2 linked regions of the Arabidopsis thaliana genome follow. The protein of the gene in region 2 interacts with the protein of the main gene of each other region in a pairwise test. Each region holds a gene or a part of one and is shown on either strand. Other genes may lie near its edges.

Region 1 (4,287 bases), 9.5 Mb from region 2:
TTGTTAGGTGGTACTCAAAGGTTTTGAATTGGCTTTTAATCGTACCGCGTCGTGCGGCAATTATTATTTGGTCACGTCCCTCCGATACTGCCCTTGCCCTATGACTTCTAAATAGTTATTGGTAAATAGTAATAAATTTGGTTGAATTTAGCGTCATTTTTTTTTGAGCAAATGTAGCTTTTTTTTTTGTCGAAAGCAAATGTAGCTAAGTTGTTGAATTTGCTAACTACTGAAACTTTCAAAATAAATTACGAAAACTATAATTGTATATCTTTATTGGGGCAAAACTATAGATAATTAAGTTAATTCTTTTAATCCATTTTCATGCCCTACTATTTTTTCGTAAATATTTCAGAATTTTGTAACATTGACCTTCGATGTAATTTTGCTTTCTACAATATCTTTTTAATGTCAAGCAATCTTCTTTTCCTTTTTTTTTTTTTTTTTGATTGGTTAAAAGGTTTGCTTTCTACAATATGTTTCTTGTTGACATGAATGTGAATTTCATTAAGAATTGAAGAGGGTTTGTCAATAATTACAAAATACTTTAACAAGTCAGAAGGCATTACGACCATGCTAAGGATAAGGCCACATTTGTTTTTTTTTTTTGGACAGCGGATAAGGCCACATTTATTTCTGCCACTTAATAAAAAAACAATTCTGTTATATTTTAAATTCATTATTAACAAACAAAAAATGTTACATCTAAATTAATTCTCAACGGTCGTTATCGGAAATAGCTTTGCTAAAAAAACACATCAAACATGTGGGCACGTGTGAAAAAATCTCAAGAAGAAAACGATAGCAAATCCACGAAACGATTGTGTCAATGTACAGTCTCAGGTTACTAAAACTTGAAAGAAGACCTAAACCATTGCGAGTCTCAGGTTCCGTACAAGATCCTTAAGTATACTCATCGAAAAATCTTTATCCATCTGCCACACAAAAAGTTAAGAAAGCATAATTGTAGATTATCAGTTTCATTAATACATCAATATTATATTGGATGAACTACGAGTTATCCATTTTAGTATTGCATATATATATAGTTATTAATGATCACCTGTGCAAGGACTGTGATGTCGAGAGTCGAGTCTCCGAATGGCAATACGATGCTATTTTCAATGCGCAATTGAAAGTTTTCAATTGTGTTTAGTATGTTGATCATGCACCCTTTGCTTTTCTCGCAAAGGATTCGGATGAGAATGTCATTTTGAGAAATTTTCGCTTCGATTTCTGGTAATGCTTGATCGAATTCAATATGAACTGAAGGAGAACATGATAGGTTAGGTTCCTCGTCGAAAAACACTTTAGATTTCTTTACAAGAATCATGGATTCCATTTGTCTCGTTGCTTCTTTTTCTTCCTTGAGCGTTCTTAGTTGTTCTTGGAGTTGTTTCATACGCGAGATCGCGTCATCAAGAATCGTTACCTTGTCCGCCTAAAAAACCACAAGATAGTTTTGTATTCTCAAAACCAATTGACACTGATGAATTATTATTTTTTCTTCACTATGAAAATATCTATAGTTAAATATATAACAAATTTATCGATAATTTACAATTTAAATTTGCAATACCTTCTTAAGCCCGGGAAGGAGAGCTGAAAGAGCAATGAATTTTTCAGAAAGCTTCTCACGGCGCTTTCTCTCGGCTAAAACATGTTCTTTCGCAAGAACCGGAGATCTTGTGCCATGAGAACATGTTTTTCTTTTGGTTCCACGACCAACCAATTTATCCATAATGATCTCCTCCGCGGCTGGAGAAGAAATAACATTACTAGAGAAATCAAAAGAAATCAGTTGTTGCTTGTTGTTGATCTTCATCATAGGCTTCACCGCTGCCTTTGGCTTCTCTCTGAGGCACTCAAAATGCATTTGATGATCAAACTTTGACGATTGATCAGCTCTTCGTGAATTTGATAAAGATTCATCAGGTGATAAATTATTTTCTTCGTAAATATTAAAGTCGAAATCAATGTCTACTAGTGAGAAATCGGGTAAGAAAAAATCTTCATCCATACCCGAATATGAAGTAATAATCGATAAAGAAATGTCAAATAGTTTCCTGATTAAGACAAAGATAAATCGAGAGACGTCTTTATTGTTTTGTCGTAAAGGGTTTATGAATAGAAAGTGTTTTCAGGTATTCTTACTATATATTCGACAACGAGACGCGGCTTAAATTATTTTCTCCACTCCATAATTATGTTGACCAGATTGTGTATATAATGCATAAAACGTGACGTATATGTATAAACTAAACATATTATGATCGAAACTAGAAGTCTTCTCATTATTGTCTATAATGATCGTATAATTTGTTGGCTTCTAGTGGTCTGAGATTCATATACGTGTTATGAATTTGAAAAAAAAAAAACTACGTGTTATGGACCCAAAAAAAAAAAGTAAGAGAAGAGAGACGTGTAAATAAAATAAGCACGTGTTTTTGGTGTTGAGCTTATTCCCACTCGGAAACAACAAGGATATAGAAAAACTCTGTAAAGCCTCGTCCCCGTCTTCCCGTCCATCTAACAACCTCATTACTTTTTATAAAGGAAAATATACAAAAGTTATACTTTATTATCTTTTATTTATTATTTTAATTGTAATTTTATCCAAAAAAAAATCATATGAAATGTTAAGTTTTATACCGTTTGCAAATTTTTCATCCAGAAAATTACATTGTTAAATTGAAAGAGAAAAAAAACAAAATTTACTTACGAAACAAAAAATTACAACAATTTTTTAATGAGTTTGAAAATTCATGAACATATCTCGACTCGTTATACTGCAATAAATTAGATTAATGGTGGATATGATATCGAGGGATATGTTGCAGAAGAAGTTATGATACCATGTGGATGTCGACATCTATACATTTATAAACAAGTTGTGTTTGATAATTAATCGATCATACTGTTTTGTCTTTAAACTCAATTTGATTCCGATAAGGCGATAACGACCCCAGACATAATAAATGTCCCTACTCCCTACCAAACGGGTTATTTAGTCTTAACTGCACTAATAAGAGGCCAGACCAGGTTGGTATGATGACGAATTCACATATACATCCACTATCCAGCCCAAAAATGCAATGGTTCTGGGCCATGGCCATTTAAAAACAAACATTTCATATGAAGGATTTATGTAAGAAAATTAAAAAGTTAATATGCCTACAATATAAGATCCAAAATTAAGGCTTCCAATTAGTCTGGGTCGGTTTAATTCACTAGTTCTCTGATGAAACGATTATGTACTGATTCGACTAATTCAATGTAATGACTAAACAAAAAAAAAATAAAAATGTAATGACTAAAAAACTGGATAATGAATTAATATGAGCAAAAAAAGAATTAATATGACAAACATATTTTTAACTAAATTATAAATATCAAAATTAGAAATTGTTCAATTGGTACTGATAGTTTTTTTTAAACAGTACCAAAAATATTAAAATTATAAATTGCCTTTGTCTCTAGTAATATTGGACCTAATTGTTTCTTCTTCACAAGCAATTTTATTAAAAAGGTGGACTAGCTTTAATTTGCTCATCATCCCTTCGACAAAAACCCAAAAATTGAAATGGTCTCGGCATTCGCAATTTGAGTTTGAATATATTTTTCCGTAAGCAGATCAGGAACTTGCTCTCCAACGCAAATTCGGAACGTTAGGAATCCTAAGTCTAACTTAGGATAAACGCCAATGTATGCGGCATGGAATTGGTAAGCTCTTGGAATATTCTTTCCGTAGTAATGCGTACTACAATTATATGTGTGTACATGTCTATCGTCACGATATATTTGATAATAAAGATTTGGTACGTATCTCTTGAAATGAAGTCACAACAGTGCCTTTTAAAAAGGTCAGTAGAATTATAAAATGGAGATTTTGTTAGAAAATTTTGGATACGAAATCTGGATAACATATAATATTTTTTTATTTATGATATAAAGTGAGACAAATGTGTATCCATGCCATGGTCCTTCCGGTTGGTGGTGCGGTGGGGACGGGATATGCCGCCGAAATATCATAAATCCAGCTGACGACCAATCTTTTACTCACACACTCTCTTTTCCTTTTTCTTTTTTATATATCATATTATTACATTAACACACTATTTCGTCAATGAGTTTGGATAGGACCAATCATTTTCATTTTATTATTGTCGTCCTAATCAAACTCACTGTTAAGGGGCCTTCCAATTTTGTCTTTTTCCTTCGTCCATAATTCTAATAGTTGGGAACTAACCATTTATATTATTCTATTTTATATACAAAAAAAATAGA
Region 2 (3,366 bases):
GTTATGTCACATCCTCTCCGGCTTATCTTGGAAAAGAAACGGAAGCCATAGACTTTGATATAACATATTACCGAGCCAATGATCCGTTAACACCGCGACTCTATGAAGATTTTATCGAAGAAATCGAGCAAATTGCGTTGCTCAAGTATAATGCATTACCACATTGGGGTAAGAATAGAAACTTAGCGTTTGATGGAGTGATTAAAAAGTACAAGAATGCTCCAGCATTCTTGAAAGTAAAAGAGAGTTATGATCCGAATGGTTTATTCTCGAGCGAATGGACGGATCAGATCCTAGGGATCAAAGGAAACCCGACGATAGTAAAAGATGGATGTGCATTGGAGGGTTTGTGTATATGTTCAGATGATGCTCATTGTGCTCCGTCCAAAGGCTATTTGTGTCGACCAGGAAAAGTTTACAAAGAGGCTAGAGTCTGTACACATGTACCTAAGTAACGTTATTATTGCTCAATAATTATCTACATGCTAGTGTGTTGGTCTCTTACTAATGACAATAATCATTTACATGCTCGTCCGATATTTTCATAAATTTTACAGAGTACTCGTTAACACAATAACGATATTGGAAAATTTACATGTACAAATTAAAATTGGAAAATTTACAGAAAAATACTTTGTGGATTTAATATATGTGATGTGGCAAAGGAAAAAGGTCAAAGTCAAAGTTCCGTGTTTTGAAACTCTTTGAGAAGCTTCTCGAATTCCTCTAATCTGTGACCCCAATCACTCTTGATCCTTAACGGCGTCACGTTACTGTAATCAACACCGTTATCTCCAGTGGGCTCGCCCGCAGAGGATGATAGCTCCACACCGCTGAGCCGATTCTTCGTCTTCTTTTTACCGGCGTTTGTTCTCTTCCTCTGAGCCGTCGCTCTCTGAATCGCCCAGAGCACGTCTGATCCGCTAATCTCTGTCTCCTTCGGGATTGGTTTTCTTGGGTTCGAATCGACGGTGCGGAGGAGGATTTGTTGGCCTAATCCGCCGACGGATTCGGAAGTTTGTGATTTCGTCGGAACGTTAATGAATCGACGGTGGATTCCGTCGTAATTATGTGGTGGTGGCTGTGAATAGGCGACGGAAGTTGCTACGGTGGGTCTCATATGAAATTGAACCGGCATCGCCGCCGGTTTCACGGTCCACATAGTAACTCCGATTTGCTTGTGCGAATTTATCTCTCTCACTTTTTTCCGCGGTTGTGGTGAATCCAGCCCCACATATACTAGTCAGTGACATATTGGGCTTTTTGTATTAGCCCCATAAAATCTATCGGCCTTAAATAAAAGAAAATTCAGTTTTGTGCTCTGCTTTTTTGTGTTCGGTTTCTTTACTTGCTCTGTTTCGGGTGGTCTGTTTTATTTTCTATGTTCCTTGCTATGTTGTTGAAGTTCAAGATTTTTGAAAAGACCAGTCACAAAATCTTTGTCAGTCATTCATTGAATCATTAAAAAAAAAAAAAAACGTTTTAGCTCTTCTATGAATTGCATTGGTTTGATACTTCTGAAAGGAGAAGTAAATAAATATAAACATAGGAAGGGAGGAGCAACATCTCAACTATTTTTATTTTATAAGCCAATCAGAGCGTTCCATGTCATACCCCACTCTCACCTCTCGGGCGATTTCACACCCACTCTCACCAATCGCGTGATGAGCGCGTGTATACGTTTTCTGTGGGTTCTAACCCACCAAATGGCTTGTTTTGAAACACACTCGCTCCTTTCAAAAAAAGCCTCGAGTGCGTGATTTCAGTGTTTTTCTCCTTTAATTCCAATTCAAACCCAACCGAAATCAATTGAATTTTTCAAAACCATGTAAACCGAACCGAAATTAAAAACACAAACGACAAACTAGCAATTGTCGCTTCCACTATTGATCCAACTCCGACGAACCAGATTGATAATTTTGATTTGATTCCACACAGATAACATATAGTCCAAACCAAATGCAATTCATAAGAGAGCCAAATTATTACTCTATGTTCGAAGCTTTTTTAACTTGCCACAAATCAATTCACAAATGAATTTTGATTTCTCATGGAAGAAGAGAGAATGAGTGGTGATGTTAGGAGATTCAGGTGTTTATTTATAAGCATTAGGGTTTCTTAAAAAAAACAAAAAAAGGAAACTTTCGATTGTTTCCTTTTTTCTTCAACGCTTAGCTTCCTTTTCTTATTATGGTTGACCAAAATATAAGAAAATCTGTTTACTTTCAACTGTGAGATATCGGACGGTGATGATCTAATCCAAACGTTAAGTTTGTTAGATTATGTGGGACCGGGACGATCTATCTTATTATACACGTCTCTTTTACAAACAAAAGAAGAGATGAAGATGATGGTTCTGAACCAAACTGTTTATAAATGGAGATGATGATGTTAAATGGAACAAAAGCAGAAGTGATTGATGGTCTAACAGACATTGACATTAGGCTACCAATGCTAGTCTTTCTGTGGGAGATAGAGATAGAAGCGGCCTGGTTATGAGAATGCTGGATTTAATCAGCATTTTGGAGATGAATGATGAGTATCAGACACTTGTCAAGAAGAAGAGCTAACTTACAAGGTTCGATGTCATAAGTTTTAGTTGTCAAGAAGAAGAGCTTATCTGCATTTTACCATTCTTTCAGGTCGAAGATGTCCATCCCGTAAGCCCATCCGCAGGCTTTTGGATCAAAGTTGTCTAAAATGTGTTGATCACTGAAGTTTTAGTAAGTGTCCAAGCGATGGAAAGTGACACCGCAGGTCTCTACTGCACCATTCACTTTCCCTTTAAGATCTATGGACCACAGGGAAGTATCATGGCTAGAACTCATTCTTCCATATCTGTCCTCTGGTTTAAGACTCATCTCCCTTTTGACACCGTATCGATCCACAAGCGTTATCTTCCTCACTTTCTCGACACCATCCGCCATCAGAATTGTCCCCGGTAGTAGGCTGCCCATAAAGAACTCGAAAACATTACAAACTCCGACAACAATGTTGAAACATTGATGAACACTTACTTACCAGTTTATACTTGTTGAGATTGTATGGTGTGAGAGTTAGTGTCAAGAATCTGTTTTGGCTCGTTTTAGAAGAAGAACACAGCTGGAGAACAGGTGTTGCATCGGTTCATACCGAATCTCATAGCAGCTTGGTCCAAAAGAAGTGACAATGAACAACAAATCTCCATCATGTCTGAAAACAACTACGTCGCCGACTCGGCTGGTGGGGAGCTTTAGCCAGCCTTGGATGAGTCTTCGTCCCTCCATCTTCACTTCCCAGATTATATCAGAAGCGTTTGATCTCAGTTTCACCACCACATTGCTCTCATTTGTTGTTCCATCTATGTGCCTGAGAAGAAATCCATGG

Evidence for each region.
Region 1: the proteins of AT2G46735 (region 2) and AT2G22760 interact in a two-hybrid assay, tested with the Arabidopsis thaliana proteins (one large-scale study listed by BioGRID).

What each region holds. Positions count from the first base shown.
Region 1 is NC_003071.7:9,675,745-9,680,031, reverse strand, and holds AT2G22760 (basic helix-loop-helix (bHLH) DNA-binding superfamily protein), read right to left. Parts: upstream 2,189-4,287; 5' UTR 2,021-2,188; coding exon 1,580-2,020; intron 1,442-1,579; coding exon 1,064-1,441; coding exon of another isoform or gene 1,028-1,063; exon of another isoform or gene 936-1,027; coding exon 867-935; 3' UTR 530-866; downstream 1-529.
Region 2 is NC_003071.7:19,202,271-19,205,636, reverse strand, and holds AT2G46735 (death domain associated protein), read right to left. Parts: upstream 1,453-3,366; 5' UTR 1,163-1,452; coding exon 680-1,162; 3' UTR 501-679; downstream 1-500. Other genes in the region: GulLO5 (D-arabinono-1,4-lactone oxidase family protein), read left to right, coding at 1-455.